2 linked regions of the Schizosaccharomyces pombe genome follow. The protein of the gene in region 1 interacts with the protein of each later gene in a biochemical or structural test. Each region holds a gene or a part of one and is shown on either strand. Other genes may lie near its edges.

Region 1 (6,186 bases):
AAAATGTTATCAGAATACCAGTGTCTAAAAAACATCGGGTTTTCGCACAAAACGGTATTAAAACGGAGGCTATTTAGAAAAGAATGTACACCGGCATTAAAATCATTTTACAGCACTCAAGACCCTGCATTAAACGAGGTCCGAACTGAAAAGCTTAAAAATGGTGTAACATATGTTTGTGATCCAAGACCAGGGCACTTTTCTGGTTTAGGGGTTTATGTGAAAGCTGGTTCAAGATACGAAACAAAAAAATTCTCTGGTGTGAGCCATTTTATGGATAGGCTTGCGTTTCAGGCTACTGAGCGTACTCCCGTTGGAGAAATGAAAGCAAAACTAGAAAATTTAGGAGGTAACTATATGTGTTCTACGAGTCGCGAATCCATGATATACCAAGCAGCTGTTTTTAATGATGATGTTAAGTCAATGTCCAAGCTATTAGCAGAAACCGTTTTGGCACCAAAAATACAAGAAGATGATCTAGTTCATTATCGTGATAGTATAATATATGAAAACTCCGAGTTGTGGACGAAACCAGATGCTCTACTCGGAGAGTTTGCTCACGTTACGGCATTCCAAAACAACACGCTTGGCAATTGTCTATTGTGTACACCTGATAAAGTCAACGGTATTACTGCTACTTCAATTAGGGAATACTTAAAATATTTTTACCGACCGGAACACCTTACTTTGGCGTATGCTGGAATTCCTCAAGAAATAGCAAAAGAAATTACGAAGGAGCTATACGGACATTTACCCAGCTCTTCTCTACCTCCACTGGAAGCTATACCTTCGCATTATACTGGAGGCTTTATGGGAATTAAAAAATCGGAAGCACCTCCTGTTCCATACCAACAGGAGTTTACACATGTTGTCATTGCTATGGAAGGATTACCTGTTACCGATCCGGATATCTATGCTTTGGCATGCTTACAATTTCTATTAGGTGGAGGTGGTTCATTTAGCGCAGGAGGTCCTGGAAAAGGAATGTATTCTCGATTGTACTTGAATGTTTTAAATCAGTATCCTTGGGTCGAAACATGTATGGCTTTCAATCATAGCTATACAGATAGCGGTCTTTTCGGTATGTTTGTTACCATTTTAGATGATGCAGCTCATTTAGCTGCACCACTAATAATACGTGAACTCTGTAATACAGTTTTGTCTGTCACCTCTGAGGAAACAGAGCGGGCTAAGAATCAGCTAAAAAGCTCTCTATTAATGAATCTTGAGAGCAGGATGATCTCACTAGAGGACTTGGGGAGACAGATCCAAACTCAGAATGGTCTTTATATTACTCCCAAGGAAATGATTGAGAAAATTGATGCATTGACTCCATCCGATTTAAGTAGGGTCGCAAGAAGAGTTCTGACGGGAAACGTTTCCAATCCTGGAAATGGTACTGGAAAGCCAACGGTACTCATTCACGGAAATGTGGATGAAGTTGGAGATGTCTTTGCTCTTTGTAAAAAAGCTGGGATTGGTCATTAATCGTTTTATCAACTATTCTTTTTGGGGGCTTTAATGAATTTTTTAACTTATGTTCTCTTTCGGTTTACTTTCGTCCTTAACCATTTAATCAATAAATCCTTTTTTCTGGGTTGACTGTTTTATTGTGATGATTTAAAAAGACAGTAATGTATTTGCAAAAGTTGAGTTAGAGAAAGCAAAGAATTAACAAACGTTTTGCTTTCTCAACCGATTTGTCGTTTGTTTATGAAAAAAGATACAGATGACATTGCGGGCGAAGTAGCGAAGTGAAACGGAAAGTGAATCTGTTATCCCTTTTCCTTTCACTTACTAGATTCATGCATTAAACTTTTTACATATATCCTTGAACCTGTAGATTGCCAGGAGTAATTGGCATTCTCAAATGTTTATTATACACATTGATATAACGTGTATCATTATTTTACCGTTATATGTTTACGGTGTTAAATATCAGCTTGTCTTCAATAAATTAAAAAAGCGTGTTTATGACTAACATATTCCCAAAACGCACTAACGATTACGCTTGATATCGCTAAGTGCAATATTGATGTAGTGCAGTTACGTTTACTATTTCGCTCGAACCGTACATCGACTTGAAGGAAAGTGAGATTAAATTTGCATATCATCCACGATTAAAACCGTCTTTTCGACGTACGCTGAAAACACTTTATATTTCAATATGTCTGTAGCTGATTTTTATGGCTCTAATGTTGAAGTTTTATTAAATAATGACAGTAAAGCGCGAGGAGTAATCACAAATTTCGATTCTTCTAATTCAATTTTGCAATTAAGGCTAGCAAATGATTCAACAAAATCCATTGTCACAAAAGACATTAAGGACTTACGTATTTTGCCAAAAAATGAAATTATGCCCAAAAATGGTACAAAATCTCCGAGTACAAATTCTACCAAGTTGAAATCAGCGGAAACTTATTCTTCAAAGAACAAGTGGTCAATGGATTGTGATGAGGAATTTGATTTTGCTGCAAATTTAGAAAAGTTTGACAAAAAACAAGTTTTCGCTGAATTTCGTGTAAGCGACAAAGGGGTTAAATAGTTAGATAGTTTATCTTTTTCTATTTACCTTACTAATTCTTTTTTGCATTTACTAATTGAGTTATCAGGAGAAAGATAAGAAAGACCCTGCAAAGCTTCTTGTTTCTCATAACAAAAGTCCTAATCGCAATTATCATCACAAGCAGAATGTTTTAGGACCGTCTGTTAAAGACGAATTTGTAGATCTTCCTTCAGCTGGTTCACAAATTAATGGTATCGATGCTGTTTTAAGTTCTTCAAGCAATGGACATGTCACACCTGGTTCTAAGAAAGGCAGCCGTGAAACATTAAAGAAAAAGCCATTCGTCGATGAAAATATACCAGCAGAATTACACACTACTACTGGTGATATATTGAAGCCTATTACTCCTGAGCAACTTAGCCAAGGCATAGCTTTGGCAATCGCAAAAACGAGTACCGACATTGTTGTTGAAAATGCTGCTCAACTTCTTTCTCAATTTGTTTTTTCAGTCTTAGGAGGACATAAACGATTGTCTTCGAGGAATCATAACTCCCAGCCTTTAGTTTGTATTCTGGTTGGTTCTCATGATCATGCTTCTGCAGCTGTAGCAGCAGGCAGGCGGTTGTGTGCCATCGGTATAAAAGTTGTATTGCGCCTATTAACCCCGTTTAATGTGGATAATAGACAACTCTTAATGTTTCAAGCTGCTGGCGGATATATCCCTACTGAAAATTTTGATCAATTTCTTAACAAACTGACTTCTCCTATAGAACTTGTAGTCGATGTTTTAACCGGTTTCCATCCATCAATAGACAAAAACAGCCACGCTCTTATTCAATGGGCTAATGATTTAAACGTTTTGATACTTTCGGTAGACATCCCTTCAGGATACACGGTACAAAAAAAAAACACGGCTATTTTGCCCAAATGGACTTTGGCTTTAGGGGCTGTTACTACTACCCTTGCACAAGCTGCTCTTGTTAAACAAGCTGCTGGTGTCTCTGTATTTGTTGGAAACTTAGGTACTGGCTCTCAGACTTGGGCTGAGTTAGGAATTCTTGAATCTCAAGTAACCGGCCAGTATCTTGCCCAAATCTCATGTACCAGCACTAACTGATAAGATACATAATTATGGCGATGTTGGGTGTATGGTTATATAGGACGCACATGTATTTAATGGTTTTAAGATGAGGCTCTTAGTTCTATTCATGGTTTCAGTCATTTAAAATAATTTATGTAACTTTAGTTCGAAATGTTATCTGATCAGGAAAATTTCTCTGAATACTATGGATCTGATGGCGCATTGAATCCCCAAATCCGCAAAATACTTTGGATGAGCTTGGCATGTTAAATTTTGAAAACATATCCTTTAGTTGTGATAAATGAGCATGTCCATCTTTCAAACCTTTCAATGTCTCTATAACATCTTCGACACCATCACGACATACAGGACACGTATGGCATGTATTTGTCGAGTAAAATTTTGCAAAATTCAGAAGAGACTCAAATATTTGATCGTGATCGTTTAAGACAATTACAGATCCTGTACCTAACGAGGAGTCTAAGGCCTTTAAGGAATCAAAGTCCATTGTAACTTGTTCGCATTGATTTTTGTTTAGGATACCGGAACATGGCCCACCAGGAAAGATACCAACTAGTTTATTCCATCCTCCGCGTACACCTCCTGCATAATTTTCAATTAAATCTTTAAGTGGAATGGACATGCAAGCTTCGATCACGTTTGGTTCATTAACTTCGCCGGATATTGAAAATAGTTTCGTACCTCTGTTGTTTGGTCTGCCCATGGAGATAAAAAATTTGGGTCCTTTTTTTATAATTGCGGGTAAATTAGAAACAGTTTCAACGTTTAACACAAGGGTCGGTAGTCCAAATAACCCACTTGTTATTGTGTTATTGATAGGGATATCAGGAACTGGGAATTCCCCTTGTAAAGATTGAATCAATGCTGATTCTTCTCCGGTAATATATGAACCAGCACCAGGATGAATAAGTAATTCTAAGCCAATACTTGTGCCAAGTAAATTTTTACCTAACAGCTTTTTTGCATAAGCTTGGATAATACACTTTTGCATCATTACGGTCTCTTCATAGTAATCTTTTCTTATAAATAAATAACAAGCAGATGCTTCGACGGCCCTTGCTGCAATTATTGCGCCTTCAATAATTTTATGAGGTTCGTGTCGTAAAAGTAGTCTATCTTTAAAGGATCCAATATCATTTTCGGCAGCATTCACAATGACCACTGGTTTTTCCTTTCGCCCTCGCTCAGAAGAAGTTGCTTTGTATAAGGAAAGCATCTTCTCGCCAGTTGGAAATCCATAGCGGCCTCTGCCTCTCAATTCGGATTCCTGCACAAGCTCAATCTTCGTCATATTAGTAAACAAATAGATTTTTATAATGATTAGCTGATTAAACCTATATTTGAGCTTACAATATTTAGTGGATCATACTTAAGAATTTCGGATAGATTTTCATATTCTCCATCGGCTAAGGCATCATCTATTCTACGAATCCGTTTTTCTATCAAATTAGGAAACATTCGGTATCCAGCTTTTGATCCCACTAATCTTTTTAAAGCAACATTTCTTAATCCATTAAATGAATGTTTTAACTTGCAGCAATGCCCTCGTGACAACATAATAGTTTTTATACATTAATCTACTTTTACTCCACTTGAGCAAGTTATAGCGTGTGCCTTAGAATGAAGGTTGGCTCGTTATATGAAACTATGGAGTTCGGTATTTATCATAAAGGTGAATTCAGTAGTGATTTAAATTCTCTCTCAATACTTGGTTCAATGTCATCTTGACTTTTAATTTATATTGATTGTTATAACCAAATTGGAAATGACTGGAAAATGCCAAAAACTCGTGATATGTGACCAAATGAAAAGCATGTGTAAATTATATAGCTTCTAAATGAGCAAATAATATTTTATCGTATACATTAAAACACACTCACGTCAAATTTAAGAATACAATAAGGCAACGTACAGTACATATTATTAAGTTAATACCAAGTAAACAATAAAATAAAATAAAATACAATAAAACAGAATTATCTCATCGAATAATTATATGTAATTATACAAGGATGAAGCATTTTAAACCTTTAAATGTTTTAACACAGCCAGTACGGCAGACGAAATTAATATAAAAAAATGCAAACCAATATAACGAAAGACCAGGAAACGTATTTCAAAAATATGATTCCTTGAAATATAAATGACAATGAAGAATAAACGCGGGAGTTTAAAACTGATGAATAAATGGAGTGAACGCATAATCCGTATCCATTCCTGCCACAAAGCCAATTGCGGAAGCAACTTCTTCCTTCAACCCAATTGTCTCATTATTAGAAAACGGCATGCCATAATCTTGTAAATAGCGAATACACTGATCTCTTGACAAAGCGTCAACGTTACCTATATTGAGCATCCGAGGCAATTCTTCATTCGTGACGGGGTCAGTTCCGTTTAAAATGGAACAACCATAATAGGAAATTCAATGATCTCGCTTGTATGTTTTGGGTACGTACATTGGACATATCAATACGGTCCACTTTCAGCGTTAAATAGTCCATGCGTGTTCGCAGTTCATCATAAAGCCACTAAGCGTCACTTTGATACTCTCACATACTATGACATTCTTGATTTAAAG
Region 2 (6,030 bases), on another chromosome or scaffold:
AGTTGGAACAATCAACTGCTCTCCCTTCGAGCACGCGTTTGCATACAAATAATGGCCAAGACAAACGAAAAGTACCTGAGGACTTACAGTGCCATAAGTTTCATATTGACGAACAGCAGCACCAACGGAAATAAAGAATAGGATAAACCAAGGGATACGAACTTCAAAGAACATTTTAAAATCAAGCAATTTGCCAAGGCGAGGATTCAAGCAAGCTCCCATAAAGGCATCGTAGATGGGATTTCCAGATAACCGATGAGGTTTATCAAAAAGTCGATCACCAAAAAGCAAAGTTCCAGTGTACAAAACAAAGGTACAGACAAAAGCGGTTATTATTGCAACGCTCATCAAAGGACCGAACATGTCGATAAATGTAGTAATTGGAAATACGTGGGTCACGTGAAGAACGGCAAGAATAACAATTGTCGTGTAAAAAGACCAGATAGCATTGCATAAGTAAGGAAGACGTTCGTTATTGCGATGCTTTAAAGGCAAACCTTGCGTCCGAACACCAGGAAGAGTTAAGTACATGACAGCCTGAACTATACAAAACGACCAAAAAACCAAGAATGCATACCGTGTTGGATAGGCACCGACGTAGATATAATGGCCTAACGTTCTAAAAAAATTTTGAAATCCTGCTATCGTAAAAGATTCTGGTTTAATAAACTGCGAATCATTAAATTTGGAGCATGCCCATAAGTAATACATTAGACAAGGGAATCCTGTCATAATTGCCAATGCACCTTTGGCACCGCCAAACTCACGAGGAGCTGATTTCTTTACTGTAGATTTCATCGCGAATTCTATCTACTTCACACAACGTGTCTATAAAAAGAGTGTGTTCTTAAAACAAATGAAAGTTGGTATTTTGGCTTCTAAAAAGATTAATTTTGAAAAAGAGTATTGATATAGCGATTACACATGCAAACGGCGGGATGCAGGTAAATCGACTGCTTACTCCTTGTCAGGCAAATATACGACCACTCTCCAAGTAACAATGTTATTTTTATATTGAGGTGTAAAGTTCATGAGATTATGTTTTCTTGATATAAAATAGTTCAAAACTAACGTTAAAGACAAGAAAAAAGAATACAAGTTGTTGGCCATTCTCAATAAAACGACTTGTCTACGTTCTAGGTTTAGCGGGAACGCAAGGCTCAGAAACCTGTTTTCTTAAAATTCACATAATGTTGAAAACGATTGACATATGTTATCTACGAAAAACAAGAACACTACTATTTTAAATTTATGAATGAATGTAAAAAGTGCTCTCTAACATTTCATGTAAACCATCGTAAGTTTGTATGTGGTTTTGGTGATATAATCGTTGTTAGTAAATACAACTAAAAAGAATAGAAAAATGGGGAAATAAGTTAAAGGGGAGAGTTATGCATGTGTGGTTTTAAAATAATAAATACTACAAGGCTAGTAAATCTCAATTTCCTAAATATTGCTTTCATTTGACATAAGCTTACTTAAATTAAGTAATGAATTTTATGAACTTATTTCTTCTGTAGCTACTATGAACTGCATGCAGATATAATAAGTAAAAGCCAAGTTGGTGTTGAATGTAAAAAGTTGGGTAACATTGTCACTGGAATGATGCGTTTTGCAATTCACATAATTGTAGCAGGAGGGTCGACTTCCCCTACCACAGAATTGCCCTTTTATTCTAAGCTAGAAGATCGGCCGTTGAAAAGACACATAACTTGCCAACTGAGTGTTAGTTTATGTTGCTGCTTTTGTAGTTTTTTTAATACTTTTTTTTAAGTCGTAAAATCGCAAATAGCGCTCTGAATTAACTATAATGAATGAGCAAGATCTATTGAATTCTCTTAGAAGAGATTTAAATTTGCCTAATCTTGGAAAATCGCATGATGGATCTGAAGCTGTAGAATCTACATTCCCAGAGAAAAAAGAATCTTCCTTGTCTGCTCAGCAACCTCATGTCGATGATCAACGCTCCAGTCTCTTAAGCTTATTGAATGCGGGACTGAATGCATCAAACCAGTCACCATCAAATTCAGGACCAAAATATTATGCATCCCACTCATCTAGTACTGACGCACTTCTTCAGGCTTTTCGTGATGGTGCGAAACCTTCTGGGACTGCCTCTGGCGCAGATGTTAAACGAAGTGATTCTGAGTCTACTGAGGCGACATCTAATGAAAGGCCTTTTAATCCCGTATCGGCAGCTAATCTAGAAAGGTTACTGATGTCTTCTACTGGGCCACAAACTCCTATTAATGGTGAATTAAAATCTAATGACTCTCAAGACACGGCTTTCCAGTCTTCAAGGAATATGCCATCTGATACCTCGGTAGCTTCTCCTGATTACTCGCATTCTCAATCAAGCTCGCCTATTGCCAATTACCAAGAGTCGGGTAACTCGGAAGAACCGCACAAAGCAGAAGAACAGCAACAGCTGAGTATTTATCAACTTGACAATCCTGGTTCCGGTAATTATGTTTGGGAGACTGTGATTTCTCCCGACAAATTTGAAACGTCGACATTCGCCAAATGCGAACGAAATGACATTGCTATTATAAATCGTGAGCTCGACGCTCAAGATAATCAACTAATTCACACCAATGAAGATTTTATTGCTTATGCTGTTCATCGCGAGCCGATTATTCGAGTCATCGAAATTTCAACTGGAAAGTCTTTTCTTCTCCATAACAACTCACCTAATAAGTTTGTATCTGTAGCCTGGGGAAATGATTCGGTTATTAAGAATAGACTTATGGCTATTGATACTACAGGACAAGTGTTGATCTTTGCTGTTGATATTGCTACTTCTACTTCTGAAATCATTTTTCAACTATCCGGTGCTCAGTCACTGTCAGATCCTATTAAGTCGAGGTTCCATTGGTACCCAAAGTCTTCAACTCGTTTTGCTGTTGCTTTAAGTAAGCACATTATCTTTTTCGATTTGGACTTATTAAACAATATTTCTTTTCCCATACCTAGATCAATTAATGCTATCCAACAGCTACCTTGCTTTCTCATTGATACCGGTATTAGTGCAAAGGAATACGACTTTTCTTATGATGGGACAGTATTTGCTACCGTGGACAAGGACGCTTTAATAAAAATATATACAGTTCCTACTACTTTCCCTTCAACACCTGACAAACGACCTGTTCCTTCTGAGGTTTCTCCTATTGCTATTTTTACGACTCGTATGGAGCGTGGTCCCTCTAAAAATTATGAAAAGCCTATTAACTTACGTTTTATTTCTACTCCTGGTACTAACAATAGTAGATATTTGGTTATTGTATACGTAATGAATCAGTTGATAACACTTTTTGATCTTTATTCAAAAAGGAATATACAGACTTTCCGATTTAATAATCGTCCGACGGCTGCAACGACTACCTCATTTTCTCAATTTTCGGTGGACAATGAGCGCAGTACCTTACTGGTAGGAAATCCTCCATCAAATAGTATTTATTTTTTTCTCTTCGCAAAAGACGAGACGGTCTCCGAACAAGCACCAATCTATAATTCAACCTATGAATTAATATTGGCATCATTAAACACATCTGAACCCGTTCCTGCGGATGCAAAGTTTTCAGTAATTGTAGCTAAAAAATTTGAGAAAGCAGCATGTATTAGCTTTACAGCATGCAAAATTTTGGAATCTGAAGATAAGTATTGCATTGTTGTAAGCAATACAGATGGTTATGAATATTATTCTATCCCGACTTCAATATTAGATAAGACTGGCAAAACAGTTAGATCGCTCGAGAGCGTCCAGAATTATGATGCAGACATTGGTGGCACAATCGATTTAACTGAGAGACATAGCACTGCTTCTCCTTCAACTGTTAATTCTGGATTCAGTACTCCCCGTTCACAAGCTACAGGATTTTCTAAGAAAAAGAAGGACAAAGGCGAGAGATTTGAAACTAAGGACAAATCATCATCTGTTTTATCACCTTCTTCATATAGTGCTTCAACTTTTGATGCGATACCTATGGATAGTATTGTCTCTAATATCCTTGCTTCCTTAGAAAAAAGTGTCCACAAAAATTGTAAGTTTTTTTTAAGTTAACTTCACTAATTTTTTAAACAGATGAAAGCCTAAGATCTCAACTTTTGGAATATAAGGCTGCAAACGAAAAACATACGGAAGCTATTTTATCAGTCGTCTCCTCAACCTTAACTGAAAACACTGGTAAAATTCTAGAGTCGGTGGTTGAAAAATCGATGCAAGTGGCATTAAAGGAAGAAATTGCGAATTCCGTTAGAAATGCTCTCAAAAATAACTTGGAAAAAATTGAATCTTTTCTTGAGAATAGCATTGCAGAGCTGCAAAATTCTGTTCGAGAGGATTTTGATAAGCAGACTTCATCTCTAGCTCAACTGAGGTATAGTATTCAGAATGTTGCACATGCCCAGAAGGAATCTGAGGTAAAGTATAACGAATTGAATGAACAAGTTAAAACGCTTGAAGGCTATGTTGAAACAGTGCTTGAAAAGTTCAATGATTTGAAGATTGAGAATAAAGTACCAGAGACAGCACCTGATGTAGTACCTTCATCATATCCACCTGCTGCGGAAAGTAACGTTTCCGTGTCTAGCGATACGTCTACAAAGGACGTGGAAAAGCAGGAGCCTTCATCTGCTGAACAGCCTGCTCAGGGAATTGCTGAAAGTCTGAGAAGGCTAAAAGAATATGTTAAAGCTGGTTCTGTGAAAGAATGTGTTGCTGAGGTAAGTTATAAAATGTGATTTTTATTTTCTAATTTATTCTAGTGGTGTAACATGCCCTCTGTTGCGGGCTTTGACGTTTTGTCTGAAATTTCTTACGATAGAATGTTAGAAAATTGTAGCAATTTATTGCTTCTTACTTTTATTTATCATATTTCTCTCCTTGATTCTGTTGATGACGATCGCTTATCGAAGCGTATGGAATACATTTCTAGAATTTGTTTGAACATTGATGTTAATGACCCAAAGGTGGAAACGGTAGTTCACCCTGTTCTTACTTTAACTCGCGAAGCTTTGTTAAGGCAGTCTGAATTTTTCTCGCCTATTTTTAAACGCCGTTTAGTTGTTCTTTTGCGTGCTCTTGATGGCAAAATATCTGAAATATCCGTTGCATCCAGTAATTAGAATTATACTTTCTTATTTGGGATTTCTTAACAATTATCGTTGAATGTTTTTAGGATACTTCATCAATATGAGCCGAAATATAAATCTAATTTATTACTGCTGTAAATATTTTTATTTTAAAGAAAAATCATTGATGTCATGATTTGTTATGCCTTGTTGTTTATGTTAGGTTGCCCTCTTTTTCTTCGTTTTTTATTTTCGAGCATCTTTTTTAAGTGGTTTTGATGTCGCTCATTTCTTTTTACGATTTACTTTTCTTTTAGGGTTATTTATTTGCTAGATTAGTTAAGTTCATGGAATAGCAGGTTGTTAATTTTTGTATAACTTTCAGTTTTCATATCGTTCAAAAACCTACATACAAGCAGATCTCCCAGTCATTTTATAAACCATTTAGAAATCGTACTCGCTTTTAATAACCCAAGTGAACTCCTTATTGGGTTTATCGTTCCGGTTTCGACATGTAGTACCTACGGTATTGTCACTTGATTTGTACTCACCACTATGGTGTATTATTCCAATAACAACCGAAAGAATTCACAAATGCAATTACATGGAAAAATGACTGCCACTGCAAAAAGTTGTGCTTTAGATTTTTTGGATTTTGTTAATGCAAGCCCTACTCCGTACCATGCTGTACAAAATTTGGCAGAACATTACATGTCTCACGGATTTCAATACCTCAGTGAAAAGAGTGATTGGCAATCTAAAATTGAACCTGGAAATTCATACTTCGTTACTCGCAATAAATCTAGTATAATTGCTTTCAGTATTGGTAAAAAATGGAAACCAGGTAAGTCAAGTTCTCAATGAGTTGCCTCTATATGCTTCGCCTTAAACTTCAGTAGAGTTTGATTGTATTATTATTATTGTTTAACATTTATGATAGGAAATGGTTTCTCTATTATT

What was found.
Region 2: the proteins of edc3 (region 1) and pdc1 form a complex in vitro, tested with the Schizosaccharomyces pombe proteins (one study listed by BioGRID).

What each region holds. Positions count from the first base shown.
Region 1 is NC_003423.3:2,091,830-2,098,015, reverse strand, and holds edc3 (mRNA-decapping enhancer Edc3), read left to right. Parts: upstream 1-2,066; 5' UTR 2,067-2,167; coding exon 2,168-2,521; exon of another isoform or gene 2,522-2,612; coding exon 2,613-3,623; 3' UTR 3,624-3,738; coding exon of another isoform or gene 3,739-4,890; 3' UTR 4,891-4,958; coding exon of another isoform or gene 4,959-5,165; 3' UTR 5,166-5,465; downstream 5,466-6,186. Other genes in the region: putative MPP complex alpha subunit Mas2, read left to right, coding at 4-1,488; SPOM_SPBC18E5.10 (Fe-sulfur cluster assembly protein), read right to left, coding at 3,739-4,890, 4,959-5,165. UniProt on the Schizosaccharomyces pombe protein: Stimulates decapping of both stable and unstable mRNA during mRNA decay. Stimulates decapping presumably by preventing the DCP1-DCP2 decapping complex from adopting an inactive conformation.
Region 2 is NC_003424.3:4,827,247-4,833,276, forward strand, and holds pdc1 (protein pdc1), read left to right. Parts: upstream 1-1,653; 5' UTR 1,654-1,810; coding exon 1,811-4,040; exon of another isoform or gene 4,041-4,081; coding exon 4,082-4,722; exon of another isoform or gene 4,723-4,764; coding exon 4,765-5,124; 3' UTR 5,125-5,227; downstream 5,228-6,030. Other genes in the region: C-24(28) sterol reductase Erg4, read right to left, coding at 1-798; aspartyl metalloaminopeptidase Ape4, read left to right, coding at 5,665-5,914, 6,011-6,030.